Caenorhabditis elegans: one gene and its partners. The protein of the gene in region 1 interacts with the protein of each later gene in a pairwise test. Each region holds a gene or a part of one and is shown on either strand. Other genes may lie near its edges. The genes, in order: sma-9, gla-3, egl-43 and aptf-2.

Region 1 (4,690 bases):
GAGAAAGGATCTTTCGGAATTGTCAAGGCTCAAGCATCTCTTCTGAGCCAATGAGTGTTTTTTCTCTTTATCACAAATGTCTTTTACTTTTTACACGCTTTTTACAAGATTTGAATGATTTGTTTCCGAAGAGATAGAGAAAATAAAGATATTAATCATGAAAACTTGTTAATAGAGTACCGTAATTGGTGAGGTTTAGCTTATTTGAGTGCAGAAAAATTTAAATCTTGAAGTTTTCTTGGCGAAAAATTAAAAAAAAAACAGCAGAACTGTGAAATAAATATTTGCAGCTACCAGATACATCTATTTTAGTCATTTGAATTATTGAGAAAAACAGACTACATAAATGAACTACAGTATACAACTTGAATTAAAAAAGGAGTTTTTGACTGAAAAATAACCATTTTCTAGCTTTAATAGACATAGTTTTTGGCTTTGATTTTTTGTTAACGAAAGCAACTAGAAAACATTCAAATTTCAAATGTATTTAGTCATTTTCTGCATATCAAAACTATTTTTTTAAACCTGATGCTCCAAGTGTTTAGTTAAATTTATATGTAATAAATAATTTTGTTTTCCATTAATATCAGTTTTGATAAAACTAAAGTAATACAGTAGTTATCCACCACAATTTGGTGCCCTGATTGTCCTCTTAATATTTTAATTGTACGAAATTTTGCCATCAACCAACCACACTCACTTTTTTTGGTAACTTTTCTTCCCATTTCTCTACTTCTCTTGCATTTTGTTATTTCACAATAGTCCACTCTATCTTCTTTTTCCAATGTCCCTCTCAAATCATTCGCGCCCTGTTTAGCACCCATAGAGTCATTGATCACTTGGCCAACAGCCGGTCTCCCGGTAATGATAACGGGAAAAGTCAATGAACATTGAGTGAGAAAAAGAAAGAAAGAGAGAGAAAAGGACAGAGAGCAGCAAATGTGTATGTCACACACTCTTTTAGTCTCATAGAATACTAATCGATCACAATCACAAGTTACAAAGAAGTGTTGAACATTTTCAAGAGCTGCAAATCTGTGATAAGGTGACGAAGAATTGAGGTGACGTACTCTTTTCCCGTTTTTTTAAATTGTGATAGTGTGAGTGAAAAGATTGCGCGAGTAATGGGTAACCGTTTCGAAGACTGAACTGCATTCATGAGAGCCTCCAATCTGTTGCAGGAGTCAAAGTGAGGCAATTTGCGTCTTGATTTGATATGAATAGAAAAAGAATGAACGACAATATATTGTCTTCTGTTTTGATTAATGATTTATTTCAAGACATTGTATACAGTCTTAAAAACATTTGGCAACGGTTTTAGTAATTGTTATTTTTATTCCCCTTCATTCATTGTAATGAAACATATTAGAGAAATCAGTATGAATCAAATCAGAACGACGTTTGAATTGATAGGAATGAAGAAAAAACGTGACCACTCTTCCCCGAATCATTAAAAGTGAACCTTGTACCCAGTTTGCTGTAGACAAGTAACTTTCATGCTAATTATGGTCTCATGTGAACGTCACATGGTTCCAATCACTTTCTCATTATTTTTTGTAATACGTCTTCATCTCTCATTTTCCCCCTTATCTCACTTTGTTTTACGATGAACTTAACTTACATGAATCAAACTTAAAAAGTGGTTTTAGAATTGGCGAATGAGCCATCAGGCAATTGGAATCTCGAACAACTTTCAGCAGGTACAACGTGAGCAGCTAAATCATCAACGATTATTACAAGCACAGCTCCAGACTAATGGACCTGGAAGTGTTTCTCAGCAGCAGCAGGCTTCGCAGCAACAACAGCAAGTGCAGCACGTCCAGCAGCAACAACAGTCGCAGCAGCAACAGCAACAAGTTGCTTCACAACAAAACCAGCCGCAATTGCAAATGAATGCTCAGATACTGCAAGCTTTGTCAACACCACAAGGACAAAATTTAGTTAACATGCTTTTGATGCAACAGGCACTTAATGCGCAACAGACTGATACTCAGAATCCACAACAAATTATGCAACATCAATTAGCTCAACAGCAGGCACAACAAGCTCAGCAAGCTCAACAAGCGCAACAAGCTCGACAACAGGCAGAACAACAAGCTCAAGCCCAAGCTCGTCATCAAGCTGAGCAGCAGGCTCAGCAACAGGCACAGCAACAGGCGCAGGCACGGCAACAAGAACAACAAGCTCAATTAGCAGCTATTCAACAGCAAGTCACGCCACAGGTTTGTGTTTAGTACAAAATTGATAATTCGAAACTTTGATTTTTATTTTAAGCAATTTGCTCAAATATTGCACATGCAACAGCAGCTTCAACAACAGCAGTTTCAACAACAACAGCTCCAGCAGCAACAACTTCAGCAGCAGCAACTGCAACAGCAACAACTTCAACAACAACAGCTCCAGCAGCAACAGTTACAACAGGTTCTACAGGTGAGTTGACACAGAAATAGCATGTTGATAACTTGAAATTGGCGTTATTTTATTTTTTTTTTCTTCAGATCTCACAAGCCCAACAACAAGCTCAACAAGCTCAGCATGTCCAGTCTAGACAAATGCAGCCGTCCCAACAGAGCCAGGTACAGGCGCAACTCCAGCAGCAACAGCAATTGCAGCAGCAACAAGCTCAGCAGCTTTCACAGCAGCAGGCGCAGCAGCAACAACAATTACAACAGTTACAACTGCAGCAATTTCTTCAACAACAGCAACAGCTTCATCAGCAACGTGCGGCTGCCCAACAAGCTCAGGCTCAGAACAATGCTTCACAACAACGCCCGTCGGTTGCATCGACGCCTGCATTGTCTTCAACTCCACAGTTGAATGATCTTACACAGACAATGCAAGCCCAGCTTCAACAGCAACTGCTTCTCCAACAGCAACAGGCTCAGGCTCAACAAGCTCAACAAGCTCAGCAAGCACAACTAGCTCAACAGGCTCAACAGCAACAGCAAGGGCAGTCTCAAAATAGAACAGTTTCTCAAGCACTGCAATATATTCAGTCTATGCAACTGCAGCAAAGAGCCGATGGAACCCCAAACGGTACGTTTAAATTTTGTATTTTTCTCTGTTTTCATTTTCTCACGTTCACACGCTTCACAACTCTGTGTCTGTTTCCCTTCTCTGTTTTCCCAGTTTCTCCCTTCCCGTTTTCCATCGTTTCCCTTTTTTGCCAGTCCACATACGTTCAACCACACAACCACACCACAACTCTTTGAAAATTATCCGATATACGTATATGACATCAAAAATATCATAGAACATTTTGTTTCCATTTGTTTTTTTTTGAAATATGCATGCAAATAGATAGTGTGTAAACCAACAATAATTAGAAAGTGATAAAGAATGAGATTTTTGTAACCATTACTTCAGCTTTTCTCCTGAATCATCTTCTTCTCTTTTTCTGTGCACCACCTTCTAACCATTGGTTGTTCAAACACGCTTACCCAATATTTTTCCCCTTCAGCAGAGTCACAAGAAGAGAGGTTGGCTCAAATGCTGAACGAACAACAGCAGCGGATGCTGCAAAATCAGGCGCGCGAGGCACAACATCGTCAGTTGCTCATTTCTTCGACGCCTGCTCCTCGAGGTGGTATCACCATGGGAACTCCAATTGGTATTGCAAGGAGAGAAGAGCAGCCGGTACCGTCTACGGTGGCGGTAACGACGGCACCGGCTGCAGTCCGCACGCCTGTTGCTGTGCCACCTATGAAACAAAATTCTAACCCTTCCATGAATCCATCATCCACATCTACGTCTGCATCTGCCACAAGCAGTCATCAGATTTTAGCCCCCTCGCTCTCCAAACCACTTGAGCAGCCTTCCTCGTCGAAGGCCGCATCGTCTGGCAACGAGTCGATGTCGGACCACATCAGCCGAATCATCTCTGAGAACGAAGTCATTCTTCAAGGAGACCCGGTGAGTGCCGAATTCTTCTAGCGTGATGGGTTTTCTTTTTTTGAATAATTCGCCCCCTGGAGTTTGATGAAATGATACGGAAACAATACCAGACCAAAATAAAACAAAACCTTTCATGTTTTTATTCATAATTTCAAATCTCATTTGTCCTTCTGTTTGACGTCTTCGAATCTGTCCATTTACAGGTGATTCGCAAAAAGCGGCCATACCATCGGCAAATAGGTGCGCAATCCTCGGTCGATCACGACAGTAATAGTGGTGGTGAGTTGTGGTGTGGTTGAGTTTCTTGAAAGCATCGCTCCATTACCCTTGTCCTTCTATCCCAAGACAAGATATTGTCTCCTTCTATTACTCGCCCCAACGTTTCCGCTATACCGTCTCGATTTGCATGCCAGTGCGTGTCTGCACGTGTCCATATCTGCATATTATATATTGATGAATATTGTGATTGTCCCGTTTGTCCCTTAATGTTTTATATTTTTCAGGATCAACAAGAACTTCGCCTGGGCCAAAAGACAGTCGTATGTTGCAAGCTGCTAGTCGGAGCCAGAGTTTATTCGAGCTTAGTGGATCAAAACATTTCATGGGCAGCTTGACTAGTGGTCAGCCATTGCTTCGTCCGATTCAGGCACATAATGATCCTAACTACACACCGGAGTGTATATACTGCAAACTCACGTTTCCCAATGAAGCTGGTCTCCAAGCTCACGAAGTTGTTTGCGGAAAGAAAAAAGAGCTAGAAAAAGCACAAATAGCACAAGAAGGAAACCCGCATAGT
Region 2 (5,054 bases), on another chromosome or scaffold:
GCCGATTGATGGCCTTCGAGTTCGGAAAACTCGGTGCAAGATTAGTGTTATGGGATATAAACGAGCAAGGAAACAAAGAAACACTCAAAGAATTGGAAGCGATGGGAGTTGAGGTTTGGACTTGCAACATTTTTCACATTTATAGATTTATTAGATGAATGTTCGCTAAAACTTACTACAACTACAGCTAACTATTACTATTACAAAGCTAGTGTCAAGAGCGGCGCGGGCTCGTTAGAAATAATGAAAACAAGTGTAAATGGAACAAAAAGTGAAGAAAAATACAAAATTTAAATTATGAATATCGTACTTTTGTGGATGGTATCCGTATCACTTGAGGAAAACAAGATTATGTGGGTGGGAAAAAGCTGGAAGTATCCATATCCTCTACAAGAAACCCTAAATACATACAAAAAACTAAAGAAGAGCTGCGAGTAGAACAAAAATTACGATGAAAAAGGACAAAATGATAAAGTATAAAATTTAGAAACTGAATTGGGTGAGAAATGAGAAAATGATTACAATAATGGGCTTTAAAATCATCGCTGGTCCTCCTAAATCGAGTGACTCTGATGACAGGCGTCACCGAAGGGGCACGATCCGGTGGCTGCAAAAAAATCGCAAGGTTCCAGGAATGAAGGCGTCTGGCCGGCCGATGATGACGGAGTGAAAAGGCTTTTCGATCCTGAGCCGTCTAAAAAATAGCCGATATATTGGAGGTTCTACTCAAATACTAAAAAAAATTTTACCGTAGTTTGGTGTCTTTTCATCTACGAAAAAGAACATTGGAGAGCAGGTCATCTTGCTTGATGTTGTAGTTGAACATTCGGAAGATTGCAGTGGCTCCTTGAGAGTTTCGGCGATTTTTAGAGTATCAAAATCGAACATAGAACACTTTGGTTTTTCGGTTGCTACTTGATCGAGCAGATTCTCGTTGCTCAATAGTTCCATCAAAGACATCACGACAGGACTTGAGCTTTCGCTGGAGCTTAGTTTATCTGAAATTGATGGATATTCAGAACTATAAATTTTTATAGAAATTTTTCGAGTAAATTAACCAATAAACATACCATCTCGATCGCCTTGTCTCACAAAATCATTAGCCATCATCATTTCCTCGTCTGTAATTGGATACTTGTCTGATCGAAGAGCATCCATTTTTGTGAGCAGACTTGCCGCAGAACTCGATTCGTTGATCGTCGCAGCTCCGCGAGTTCGTGTCATGGCTCCGGACTGTTTTTTCGGCTTCGGCTCGAGCCAAATCGAAAACGAGTCATCAGGTGGGAGCAAGGACTCCGAGATCTCCGGTGGTGAGAGAAGAGCCGCAAACGGATGTTGAGGTCCCTGTTGATGCGAATAACGGTATTGCTGAGCAGCATGATGCAGATATTGCTGATGCTGGTGTAGCTGATGTTGTGACTGATGATGATGATGGATTGGATGTTGATGTGGGGGACGATGACGTCCTGGCATGAAATTTGATAAACGATTTCCAGTTCCATGGTAATGACAGTCCGAAGTATTTGGTTCTAAAATGTATGCAATAGTTCGATCAATTTTCCTATTTATTTGGTTGATTTCAATCTTACCGTTTCCTGCAAGTCGTGGATGGTATGGTGGGGTCATAGGAGCATTGAAGTGATGACCATTACTCATTTGATCACTCTGAACAAAAATTGTTTGAATTTTTTTAAATCTAAAAGAAATTGTGAAAAAAGAAAAACCTGAGACACCACTCACCGAAGTTTGCCTAGACACGTCACGCTCGTTGATATATCCTCGCTCTATCATAAAACGAAGGTAGTTCAAATCTTTCATTTTCAGTTTAGACAAAAGTCGATCCATTTCCGAATTTTTCTGTTGAGTCGGTTGACGATCATTGGGTCCAACTCTCTGTCCGCCTATCTCTATGTCCTTCTGACGTTGATAGATTTCACCAGCAACATTCCAAATCGCTTGTTGAAATTGCGGAGGGGGACCGCCGACCTCTCGTGAAGTACGAACATTGGATCTTGATCTTTGGTGCTGTGGTGGGATATGGTATGCTCCAGATCCCAAACGATTCGGATCTTGACCAGGGATGTTGACTGGCCCTGTAACAATGAATTTTGATTTAAAAAATCTCTGAAGAAAAACTTGTCGTAATTTCACTAGAATTTGACATGTTTTCTTGAAGGCGCACGGATTCATTCAGGGTCTCGACGTATAAAAAGTTTATGATAGTCTTTTTTAATTTATACTCCAAAAACTGATTTAAACTAATTTTAGCAAAAAAAATGAATAGAAAACGATAAAGATTGATAAAAACTAAGTCATTGTTTTGAAAAATTCAAGAAAACGAGAAATCAGCCGCAACAATTCAAAAAGACTACCATAAAAATTTCAGCGGGCTGAGACTCATTTCATTAAATTCGAGAAAACCTCGTGAAATCTCTATACCTCCAAATTGTTGAGAAGGAACCCCTTGCGTAGCACGATTCGAGGAACGTTGATGGTGTCCATGAGATGGAAATCCAGCTGAGAACATTGACTGTTGCGGGTATGGGAACGGATTCGGAGACTGAAAACAAGTTGTTCAGTTTCAACCGAAAGTTATTCTTGAAGTTACAAAACTAACCAAAAATCCGTAATCGTCAATATCATCGTCACGAGAACATATTTCATGCTTCTTTTCCTGTTCTTGCTCGACACCGTTTTTAGATAATGATGAAATCGCATCCTTCTCTGCAGCTGAGCTGGTTGGTGGTGGTACAGCTCCAATTGACATGGAAATCCATCTTTCCTGAGCTGGAGATAACGGCATCGAAGAGTTTTGTTCTTTGAAGGCAGTATTCGATGGAATATTCACTGTTAATCCTTTGACGTTGGTTGATGCACGCTTTGTCGGCGACTTTTGAATTTCAGCAGTAGCCGGTCGCTCATTCTCTTCTTCGTTCGAACGATCAATCCGGACCTGAAAAACCAGATTTCTTTGATGTTTCCTACGCTGCTTAACTGACCACTTTACGAAGATCGTCTTCACCGTGAGCATACCAGCACGCGTCGCCATACGAACAGCTGCCCGAGCGTCGCCAGTGATCGCAAATCTTTGTCTGAAACTACAAGGAATGAGTAGATCTTAATTAAAATATTGAAGTGTTAAGAAATTAAAACGTTTTTCCAAAAATAGAACCTTCCTTAATGCGGGGTTATGCTCTCGATTGGAGGTAAAATTTTGATGTTGCCAAAAACATTGAGAAGAATCTTGATACACCGTGTAGTTCCCTAGACTTTCTAAATTTCTGACTGGATCCATATCTGAGTTCAATAGAGGCTGAGGTTGAAAAGAAAACCCCTGAATTTTATTATAAACCAAAAATACACTTTTTCCGAAAATTACCGGCGGAGCAGGAGTAAGTCGACTTTTTAACAAAGATGGTTGATAAAGCATGGTTGGGTGAGTAGGATGGAGAAAATAAAATGTTTTATTAAACACTAATTTCTAGTTATTTTTTTAGCTTTAGTTTTTTCCTCTACCCCCTTCTGCTCTAGTTTCTCACGAACTACCGCTTTTCTGATCTTACTTTCGGTTTTGGGCCGTTTGGTTTATTGCCGTTGGTGCTGTTTGTAAGCGCATCACGGGGATCTATGACGACGCTGAAAATTTTGTTTTTAGCAATTAGTTATTCATACGAAGAATATACCTTATTTCCTGAGTTTTTGACGCAGAGCTACTCATCTATTTACAGAAAAATACGATTTAGAATCTGAAAATGGCTTTTTTAAAAATATTTTACTCAAAAATGGGAAACAAAGAGAAGTTGAATAAATTTAGGTAAGCAAATGAGAAAAAGTACAAATTCAAATGACACGCTAAACAACGCGCGATCGTCATTTCGGAGTGTCGTTGTGCGTTTCTCTGCGTCTCTGCGATTTGTATACTGTTTCATTTCTATATCTTTCAGGCTAAAGCATACACAGTGGACCTATCGGAATACAAAGAAATCAATAGAACCGCCGATTTGGTTAAAAGTGAAGTAGGGAAAGTAGATATTCTCGTGAACAACGCTGGAATTGTGACGGGTAAGTACAGTCGGCTGAAAACATCCAAACTTCTGAAAAATTCATGTACAATACAAAAACACAGTAAATAATAATTTTGTTCCTTATAGAGTTAATTTTTTCCTGTAGAAGACACGAGACCCGAAGAACTCGGGGGATGTCCAATTGGGGGGATTACCAACTCGGGGATTGGCCCCGCCCACAGAACCGTGGCTTGCAATACGCCCATTTCTGCAACTGCCGCACGGTTTTGAAACTGTATTTTTCTTGTTAAATCTCGCTCTATTGAGAAAAATACAGTTTCGAAACCGTGCGGCAGTTGCAGAAATGGGCGTATTGCAAGCCACGGTTCTGTGGGCGGGGCCAATCCCCGAGTTGGTAATCCCCCCAATTGGACATCCCCCGAGTTCTTCGGGTCTCGAAGACACAATGAAGAGTCGCAATACACATGGTATTAATTAAATGAATTTGAATGGCGCGGCGGGACCCACTGGCAAAAAAGCACATCCCTTGCTAATTGCATACTGTAGAGATTTAGAAACATACGAAGTTTAGCGTATTACATATTTTTCATTTTAAGCGAAATATGCCAGATAAAGAGAGAAAACAAAAATCAATAAAATAAATAAAATGATAAGACTTTCGAAAAGGTTCAGTGAACCCATTGTTACTTCACACAAAAATTACAGTAGTAATTTGAAGAATTACTGTAGTTTTCGCTACGAGATATTTTGCGCGTCTGATATGTTGCGCAATACGCATTCTCAGAAATTAGTATTCCCATAATATCTTTTCATAAAAACATTTCAAGGAAAAAAGTTGCTGCAATGTCCAGATGAGCTGATGGTCAAGACTGTTTCAGTTAACACAAATGCTTTGTTCTTTGTAAGATATGACTTTTGTTGAAAAGAGAATACCGAAATTTTCCAGACTACCAAAAATTTCCTTCCCGGCATGCTCGAGTCGAATAAAGGGCATATTGTAACAATTGCTTCAATGGCTGGAAAGTGTGG
Region 3 (4,931 bases), on another chromosome or scaffold:
GTGAACTTCAAGCACCGAACTTCACGTTAAAATTCAAAAGAATAGACAGTAGGCAGCCTACCTTTTGGAAAATTCTCTGGAAAAATCGTCTTCACAAAATTTCCAAACTATCTGATAACACTCATTCGATGGGAAATTGTCACTTACGCGAGGTTTTTTTTGCCTCCGATTCAGAAAAAAAGTTCCATTTTTTGTTATCATATCATTATTATCAGTTCTAATGGCACATCATGTGTCAAGTGATGAGCACCATAACTTTAAATTTTCAAGGTTTTCGAAATATTTTACTCTTGTTCAACAATTCTTCATTTCAAAATGTGACCGTTTTCTTTCTACACTTATGACACTTTTAATACTGTATCACTTGAATGTCTCTAACTTTTTTTCCATTTTCCTCACAACTTTTCCATTCTTCTATTTTTCTGTAGAATGGACGAGCCCACCTTTTATTACTCCTATATAAAAGCTCTTCTCGGTGCGCTCACCTGGAGCTATGAGGAGAAGAAAAACGGAAAGAATAGAAGAAAAGAAGCGGCAATTTTGTCCCGTCCCTTCTTCCAAAAAGATGAGGACCATGAAGAAGAAAAGCGCAGCACATCCGTCAGAAGAAGACCACAATTGGTGGAGGGGCACACCTCTACTTTAAAATAGCTCCCATTTGCTCGCTTTTACTGGAAACTCTGGGGTCACTGATTTTTTGGATGGTTCTAGACTGTCCTCAAATGTATAATTTCAAAGCTGCGGCAAACTGCTACACCCTGTTGTATTTTCCGTCCAGCAATTTACTTCCAAAAATTCAAACTAAGTCAATAGTTGTTATAGTTTTTAAGTTGGTCTTTGATTATTGAGCAGTTCGGTAAACTCGCAGCCGACCTCGATGGAGTCTCGCGATAGCCTACTCCTGGAAAAAACGTTTGTCTTCTGCTTTCACCTCATGATATCAGGAAACTTATTACAGACATTCAGCCGACAAATAAACGGCTTGGCTTCTACTAGAAATGCTCAATAGATTCTAATTTAGTAGGTGTAGATATTTTCACTTTTGTTTATTTTTCTAAGTATCGAAGTACATATGTTAGAAAGTAAATAAAAATTGCTATTCTACTTTAAGAATTTTCTATATTAAAATAGTCTTTAGTAACGTGGGGTTTTCGAAACTTGCAACTTTTCAAGTGAAGATGCTCCTCACCTGAAGCATCCTGTCACTCTACCGATTGGCTGATGGGCGTGTCGTCTTCCATCTCTTCCACCCGCCCACTTTTTGAGACAGGAGAGGCTCTCGCTCCTCTCGCATCCACAAATGGAAGGCGCCTCTTTCCATCTTCCTTTCTTTTTTTTCTGGTTAGTTGAAGTATCCTTAAAGTATCTTGACGTTTTTACTATATATGACTTCTGGAGAGACATTCGAGTTTTTGGATCAAATATAGAATGTCAAATTTTGAAGAGCAATCTTCTCATATGTCAATTTTTCAATAAAATTGTATCCTACATTGTGGTGGTGTAGAACCCTCAAAAAATAATCTCTAAATTAAGAATTTCTTGATTTTAAAACTGACTAGCAAATTTGTCATGAAAAATCTCAAACGAATTTCCTACAGTTCATCTACCAAATGAATTGGGCTTGTAAACTTTTTCACCATCTACTAAAAAATTCAATAAAATAATAATCTCTTCCCAAACTACACCTCCCTCCAATATCTCTCAGCTTACTCCTAACTCCTATCCCAAATTCGTACATCTACCGTACCATTCCTCCTCCCTGTTCGTTCTCAATGACAAAGCCAGCCTTGAACAGCCATATCCAACTTTTTCGTTGCATTGTTCTCGTTCACAAGATGTATTACTCATCTTTCGCCCCAAAACTGTTCTTGTAATTTGTACAGTTCTTGTTTCTTCCCACGTACAGTTTCCTAAGTTTTCAGGATGAGCATCGACACAGACTTCCTCACGAGTGTTGAGGTAAAGGAGGATGAGCTACATGGAAATGTGCTCATTGCAGTAACTCAAATTGCACTCGGAAGGACCATCGGTGTGATTGATAAGGTGAGCTTTTGGTGTACAATTTTTACGCCGTAGACATTGTCTTAGAGGTGTCCGCTAGAAAAAGAAGTATAAGCTTATTCCCGGGCGTCTAAAAAACTCCACCGGAAAAAATACAGGTCGCTTGAACTGAAATATCTTATAGCTTGAGTAACCTATGAAATAAGCTTTCAGATGTTACACTCATATTTTGTTAGTTAGTAGTTATATGATAACAGTAATTTTAGGTTGTAATTGATAAAATAATGACTTTTTTAAATTAACAAAACTTTTTTTAAAATATTTTTACAAGCATTTTAAATTGATACCTTGGTGCCTAATCTACCTAATCTACAGTACCTTCGCCAACATTTTCAAATCCTTTCCTAATGATTCAACGTTCGAATTACAAATTCTTCCCAGAACCCAAAACCGCAATTATCGGGACCCTGAAATGTTTGGCGCCATGTGTTCCTCCCTGCTTCTTCTCCTCAAAAATTCCTTACACCTGTCTTTCCACCTTTCCCGCTCCCCCCGTCCATTACCACTTTGTTAACCTTGGGGGCACACTAGTAACCATTACATTAGGATTTACAAATCGGAACACCTGGTGCCTTGGTGGATGGGGGATCCGAGATGGGAAAAGAGACTCGATGATCGACTGTAATTGATGAATACAGTCGCTGATGGGAAAATGGATAATTGCTAGGTTTCCATAGGAAGAAGAATTTGAGGAGCTCTATCAATAAAGGAGAGGGATTGAATCCGTTGATCAAGCCGTCAATTTCCTACTGTAGCTGTCGTCGTTATCCAACTTCGTCACAATTCCATCATTGAATTAGTGTATTTCCCCCAGTTGTTTATCATCTAGAGCCGGCGACGGGTCTCTCACACTGATTGGCTTATCACGCACGCACACCACATCAAGCGGCAGTCACTCAGAATCAGAAGCCACTGAAGAAAAAGTTCATCATCTTTTGCGAGAGAGCCACTGATTGCTTATGGTTGCTTGGTGAAGGCAAACCACCTGCTCTCACAGTGGGAAAATTAGATTCCAGAAGCGATAGAGAGAGCGACAGCTCCTGCTTCTTCTTATTAGATATTGATGGGTTTTTGGGCTGAAGCTCACGGAGCACAGAGAGTGGTGAGTTGGCCGAAATGAAATAAGATTTTTTCGAGAATGAGTTTAGAATGTGTGCGATTTGTGAAATAATTGAGGGAGGAAACCCAGTACGCCCAACAAAACCCTTGTTGAGGTACTAAACTGTTTCTGCGAAGATCTGTGGGAAAATATACAGAGATTGCAGGAAAAATAATGCAGTCTTGTAACTGGTGTCACACGGTGTGACGCGCGTGACGTCATCTTTTTCCAGTCCGCAATATATCAAATGAAGTGAAAACTTAAAATTTGGATATGCAGTTTTGAAGAACGCATCGCCAAATACAGGGATTCTTGAAACTTTAATTTTTTATAACTATTCGTGTCCATTTTTTGTAAAATTAAGTCCGAAGAGACATCACCGTTGTCTTACAAGCGGTCATAGAGAAACCTACCCAGCGTGCCAATCGTTTCTTTAATCCATGTTATCACGAGGCCGTCGAAGGTCACCTTTCAGGCAGGCATACATTTTTTTACTACGATTTATGTAGATCCTAGATTCTACACTCATCATTTAGAAAAAGTACTAAAAACAATCACTTACATTAATTTTATAAATATTATTATTTTAGGCTACACCGAATGATTCGAATGCTCTTCTCATCTTGAACCTGATTAAGGAAGCTGATGACGGAGAAGATGCCAATATTTGTATGAGGCAGGAGGATAGAAAGGTGATTATTAGATAAATTTAATGAGGAAGTTATCTAACTATAAGAAAAATTTCAGACTTTTCTACAAACCAGTAAGATTATCAATATTGGAGAGCGTCTTCTTCTACAAAGACTGTCCGAAGAGGAGTGTGATGAGGAGGATCAGGATGATCTTGAGAATTTAATTTTGTTAAAAGATGAAGATCGGTGAGTATGACCCTTGAAAGAAACAAGAAAAAGAGCATGCTAAAAAGGTATGATTTTTCTCACCTTTGAAATTGGAACGATAACTGAACAAGTTGCAAAAACTGTAATTTTCCGGAATTTTTTCTATGATTTGAAGTTCTGTGTTGCTATACATAGAAGGATGTTTGAATTACACATAAAACAATTTCTAAAAAGCAGATTGAGTATACCTTTAATTTTTGAGTTGTTGAGATCAGCGTTAAAAAATTTCAAACCGGTTTTGTCGGTCTTACACAGGCGAATATTCGAAAATAAATCTCGATTTCTAACGGAAAAGTAACGGAAGAAAGATGTGAATCTTCATGAAAATCTTCTGTCATTTTCTTCTCATCGTCCTACTTTCTAACTCCCGTCGTTTTCTCGATAGTTTTCACTGGCGCGGTGAAAGTAACGGATTTCCGATAAGAGCACATCCTTCAGCATCTCCAAGTGAAGCCCGCCCGCTTTTTTTGTGTCCCGTTCATTTACATATAGATTCTACCGCTTCTGGATGACAAATTCGTGTCGGTTTCCGGAGGAGCCCTTTTTTGGGTATTTGAGCCCCTCAAAGGAAATCGTTGATTTATTTTGAGGGGTGTGCATCGGGGGAAGGAAGCGGATCTAGATTTTGCATCTTTTTTGAGAATCAATCGTTTTTTTTGCGGAAAATATAAATTTTTATCTTTTTTTCCGAAATCTTTATATCGCTAACTTAATTTGTGTTATTACCATCTTTTCTATGTTTCTTAAATTTTTAGACGATGATTCCTTGGTATCCCAAAAGTTTAGGTTTCAATTTTTACGTTAGACCTTGAACTTGCCCGATTAGATTTGAAAAGTTTGGGTTAATTTTAATATTTAATAGATTTTTCTAA
Region 4 (4,831 bases), on another chromosome or scaffold:
ACTCCGATGGACTTTGGTTATAACTTGAATATCTCTTGCAACCTTCAACATCTCTCAACTCAATTCCGGGCATGTAAGGTGCTGAAATTATGGATATTTGAACACTTTGCTATTTATATTCCCCAGACGTGAAATTTTGTGATTTCTCTGTCTAGGTCTCGACGCGACAATTGTTTTGTTAAATGCGAAAATGTGTGCGCCTTTAAAAGTGGTGTAGTCGAATTTTTGTTATTGCTTTATTAGACTCAAAACTATCTGAAAACACCGAATTTCATAATGAAACTTTTTGAAAACTTCTCAAAAAATAGTTATGACAGCTCAAAAAATGACCTAAAATTTGTTAAAATTTGAAATTTGACCGACTTGTAAAGCGGCTGGAAACAATTTTTTTGAAATCACCGTCAAATTTTGAGTATACATGTCAATTAACTTGCGTTTTCGACTACTACTTTACAATTAGGTATTTTAAAGTCGATGGACGGCGAGATTTGGTTTAAAAAAATTGTTAAAAATCTCGTCGTCCATAGACTTTAAAATACTTAAATCAAGTTGAAAACGCAAGATAATTAACTGGTATACCTACAATTAGACGGTGATTTCAAAAAAGTTCGTTTCCAGCCGCTTTACAAGTCGGTCAAATTTCAAATTTTAACTTATTTTAGGCCATTTTTTAAGCTGTCATAACTTTTTTTAGAAGTTTTATTAAGAAATTCGGTGTTTTCAGACAATTTTGAGTCTAATAAAGCAATAACAAAAATTCGACTACACCACCTTTAAAGGAAAACTATAAAAAAATTCGATGAAAAATCCGCAGATTCGAATGTTTGAAATAACTATTCTTTAAAGTGCTTTAAGAATTAAAGGCGCACACCGTTTCGCATATAACAAAAATTTGTCGTTTCGAGACCCTATTTTTGGAGCAAAAACCGCGAAATTTCAATGATTTGTTATAAAAAAGTCCGAACCAATCGTCTCCCAAGTGTTATCCGTATCTAAAATCGCACATATTTGCTGGAGAACTTCTCGTTTCATGAATGGAATCATTACAACTTCTGATACTCCAAGAGAATCATCCATTGTCTCTGAAAAATTCCAGATTATTTTTAAAAATATGTATTTAAACAATTTTAACAAGTTTAATTTTAAAAGAGTAGCTAATCAAAAATTATTTTGCTTTATTAAACTAAAAATGGTCCCAAAATATCGAATTTCATAACAAGACTGTTCAAAAATGCTTTTAAAAGGTTTATTTCCGCTAAAATCTCCAATTTCACCAACTTTTCCGTTTCACAGCGATCGGAAATTGATTTTTATCTGACTATTGCCCTATTTTGCTCATTTTCCTATTTATCTTCTGTTTTTTTGTTGATTTAATAGTTTGGATTTAAAAATTAAAATTTTAGATGATAAATTAACGAAACAACGCAAGAAAACCAATAAAAATATTCAAAATAGAAGAAAAATCAAATAAAAATCAATTTCTAACCGTTGTGTAACGAAAAATTGGGAAAATTCTATTTTTTCTTCGAAATTAATTTTTTTCTCGTTATAAAATTCGGGGTATTCGGGCCTTTTTGAGTATAATAAAGCAATAAAACTCCTCCTTTGATTGGTTTTTTGAAAAAATGTATAGAATGTTTTGAATGTGTTTTTATTATATTTTTAAAAATAAAAATATTTTAAATTAAAATTAAAATTTAATATTTAATTAAACTTATAAAACGAACAATTCTGAAATTCCAATAAATCCAAAAGCGGAGGAAAGCGGAGTGTCGTCACTTCCTCTCGTCGTCTCATCCCTCTCCCTCTCTCTACATTTTCTCTCTCTTCCATTCCATTACTTGGCACATTCTTCTGGAGATGTCACCTAGAAAACAGATGTTTTTGCAACACTGGAAGAGTAGATCAATAATAAAAGAATGGATATACAGGTGAGCGCGCACAGATTTGATCTCCACACCATAAACGATTTACAACCAATGAGGTCAAATATTGTAGAAGGCATTCGATCTACCTTATTAATGTCATTTCTTTCTTCCCTTTTTTTCAGCTTTTTTTTTGCTTTTTTTCCATAATTTGGAGGTCTGGCAATAACAATTTTACTTTCAAGCTGGAGTACCGAAATCTGAGACTTTGTTTTTTACACCCAAAATAGCCCAAAAATACCGAATTGGTAATGGGACGTTTTGAAAATTTCTCAAAAAAAAGTTATGGCAGTTGAAGGTTCTGGAAAAATGGCACATTTTCAGCTAAAATCAAAATTTTGGTCAACTTCTCGGTGTCACAGCGTCTGGAACATCATTTTTATGTAATTATCACTATTTAAAGACTATTGCGGTCTTCTATTAAGCGTTTATTCGTTGATTTAAACATATTTTCGGTAAGTGGGACACAAATAAAAGTTACATTTTTGTGCCCCACTGACAATAAATGTACTTAAATCAACGAATAAACGCCTAATAAAAAACAAAAATATTCTTTAAAAAGTGATAATTGAATCAAAATTAAGTTCCAGACGCTGCGACACCGAGAATTAGACAAAAATGTTGATTTTAGCTGAAAATTAGCCTTCTTTCCAGAACTTTGAGCCACCATAACTTTTTTTTTTGAGAAATTTCCAAAACGTCTCATTACACAATTCGGTAGTTTTGAGTCATTTTGGGTCTAAAAAAGCAAGGGTTCAGATTTCGGTACCCCATCTTTAAAATATTCAAATGGATCCAAATGCTGAAATCCCACAAAATTAAGTTTTAGAAATACAGTTAATTTCTGACGAATTTTTCAACTTTCTGCCGAAATTGATAAAAAAAACCAAAGTGCGGCACAGAAAAATGGGCGTGGTTAAGTGGCTAAAGTGCGGAAATTCAAATTATTCAAAAAAGGATATTATGAAGAAGCGAAAATTCGTCACAATCAACTTTTTTGTTAAACTCTGTAAATTTATATTGTCTGCTTTTGAATCCATTCGCGTATTTTAATTTATTCATTTATTACTTTTTCAGATGTTCACCACGCTCAACTCTACTGTTCCAACGGAACCCGTGGTGGGACCTGTGGAACCTACAGTACCTACAGTACCCGCCACAAAAGAGACTGGCCCTTCAAGCTCTGCAGAGTGCTCTACCCAACCCGCCGTTGCCGAGCAAGAAGACAACTCCCTTTTGGCACAACTTTTAAAAGGAAAAATCACGTCTGATGATGCAAAGTTGCAACCACCACGTGGACCTTTCGAATACGCACCGATGCTCTCCGAGGAGGCACAATTTGCGATTAAGCTGGCGGGTCTTCTCAACCCGAATCCGGTCACTGAACAGGACCCGAGCACTTTCAAGCCGCCTCCGAAAATGAGCAATAATGTTCGAAAAAACATTAATTTGACTCCGGTTATTGAGAATGCAGTTCCGAGTGGATTTGAACTGGAAAGTCCGAAAGATCAGGCATTTGATGTGGTTCATGGAAGACTATCTATGGGACAGAATCAGACATGTTATTTTGTACGTTTACGGTAGAAGTTCAATATTAAAATTTAAATAATCTTCCAGGTCACAGTCGAGGAAATGAGACGAAGATTGCAAAGTCCGGAGAAGCTCAATAGTTCGAGTATCGCATGCAATCTTAAAAGGCCAAAACTGAAGAATGGAGGTGAACTGATGCGCGCTCAACTGAGAGATCATGGAATCAAGGTTCAACTGAATGCGAAACAGAAGGCTTTTCCCAACAAAGTGATCGCTTTGGTCGAAGCGGAAGCTGTTCATTTGGGACTTGATCTTGGAACAGCTGTACGAGATGATTATCCAGTTCAAGATATAATTCAAGAAGTTGCTCATGAAGCATTGGCTGACGAGGATGCAGATCTGGATGCGTTGATGAATGATAAGGATTTCACGTAAGTTGACTATATTCCAATTTCTCAATTCTGACGCCAAATTCCAAATATTTCAGAGAATGTATGTCAGCACTTGAATCAGTTTTCACATCAGTCGTCCCTCCGATCACTGGAATCGAGCCAAAACCGTCGAACAACATGCGACTGAACAATGGAATGGAGACCTTTTCATCAGCTTCACATGGACTTGGAATCGTGTCTCAACGGGTTTGGCTCCCCCAATTGACTGCAATCGGAAATGGAGTCGCATCTGAACTTCGACGCTTGACAGAGACGCCAACTGAATCAAAGCCAGAGGAATTGAAAGCATAAATTCATATTTTCATATTCTGATATTTAAAACAATCTGATTACCAAGGTCTCACTTATTTTCCATGATCTCTATGATGTTTTCACTTAATTTCAATGAAACTTTTTATTTATTTAAATCCTCATACGATGTTCCTTAGTACTAGGAAATGCATCATTAAAAATGATTTTCATATTGCTAGTACGTCTTATAGAGTAGCTTCGAATTCACTTTATACATTTGAATAATATTGAATTTTATAGGTTTTACACATCATTTTGATCATTTTGATGTGTAAAACTTTGAAAAATTCATTATTATTCAAATGTATAAAATGAATTCGAAGCTTCTCTATAAGACGTACTAGCAACATGAAAATAATTTTTAATGATACATATTCCAAAACTGAAAATTAGGAATTTCTTTACCCCCGTTCCTCACGTGAAAACATTTATTGACCCTGTGGCAATGTGCGCTTGCGCGTCTGCGTCTCCAGAAGGCGTAATCTCTCGTGTTCAAACACTTTCTCAACTGACCATTTGTTTGCGTCGTTGCCGACGGCTTAACCATATGTTGCCTTTTCCCCCTTACATTTATACAAGACAGTAATATTAATAAATCGGTTTGATCTACAAAAATGCGGGAATTTTTTGGTC

Evidence for each region.
Region 2: the proteins of sma-9 (region 1) and gla-3 interact in a two-hybrid assay, tested with the Caenorhabditis elegans proteins (one large-scale study listed by BioGRID).
Region 3: the proteins of sma-9 (region 1) and egl-43 interact in a two-hybrid assay, tested with the Caenorhabditis elegans proteins (one large-scale study listed by BioGRID).
Region 4: the proteins of sma-9 (region 1) and aptf-2 interact in a two-hybrid assay, tested with the Caenorhabditis elegans proteins (one large-scale study listed by BioGRID).

Annotation. Positions count from the first base shown.
Region 1 is NC_003284.9:10,771,433-10,776,122, forward strand, and holds the start of sma-9 (Transcription factor sma-9), read left to right. Parts: upstream 1-1,658; coding exon 1,659-2,222; intron 2,223-2,274; coding exon 2,275-2,430; intron 2,431-2,498; coding exon 2,499-3,036; intron 3,037-3,460; coding exon 3,461-3,912; intron 3,913-4,097; coding exon 4,098-4,173; intron 4,174-4,397; coding exon 4,398-4,690. UniProt on the Caenorhabditis elegans protein: Transcription factor, probably acting as a transcriptional activator and repressor, involved in the TGF-beta-like dbl-1 signaling pathway.
Region 2 is NC_003279.8:8,213,074-8,218,127, reverse strand, and holds gla-3 (C3H1-type domain-containing protein), read right to left. Parts: upstream 3,431-5,054; coding exon 3,380-3,430; intron 3,335-3,379; coding exon 3,173-3,334; intron 3,099-3,172; coding exon of another isoform or gene 3,093-3,098; coding exon 3,000-3,092; intron 2,954-2,999; coding exon 2,618-2,953; intron 2,561-2,617; coding exon 2,440-2,560; intron 2,094-2,439; coding exon 1,741-2,093; intron 1,666-1,740; coding exon 1,590-1,665; intron 1,530-1,589; coding exon 1,071-1,529; intron 999-1,070; coding exon 750-998; intron 695-749; coding exon 555-694; downstream 1-554. Other genes in the region: Protein dhs-3, read left to right, coding at 1-113, 3,945-4,062, 4,853-4,926, 4,972-5,054.
Region 3 is NC_003280.10:9,953,263-9,958,193, forward strand, and holds the start of egl-43 (Zinc finger protein egl-43), read left to right. Parts: upstream 1-1,922; 5' UTR 1,923-1,923; coding exon 1,924-2,043; intron 2,044-3,748; exon of another isoform or gene 3,749-3,750; coding exon 3,751-3,852; intron 3,853-3,907; coding exon 3,908-4,038; exon of another isoform or gene 4,039-4,085; intron 4,086-4,931. UniProt on the Caenorhabditis elegans protein: Probable transcription factor, required for migration of the hermaphrodite-specific motor neurons (HSNs) from the tail to the gonad primordium during HSN cell differentiation. Required for phasmid neuron development.
Region 4 is NC_003282.8:13,413,043-13,417,873, reverse strand, and holds aptf-2 (Transcription factor aptf-2), read left to right. Parts: upstream 1-1,822; 5' UTR 1,823-1,919; coding exon 1,920-1,931; intron 1,932-3,002; coding exon 3,003-3,494; intron 3,495-3,542; coding exon 3,543-3,886; intron 3,887-3,942; coding exon 3,943-4,198; 3' UTR 4,199-4,314; downstream 4,315-4,831. Other genes in the region: Pelle-like serine/threonine-protein kinase pik-1, read right to left, coding at 1-81, 966-1,077. UniProt on the Caenorhabditis elegans protein: Sequence-specific DNA-binding protein that interacts with enhancer elements to regulate transcription of selected genes. Required for neuroblast and epidermal morphogenesis, perhaps acting in cooperation with transcription factor aptf-4.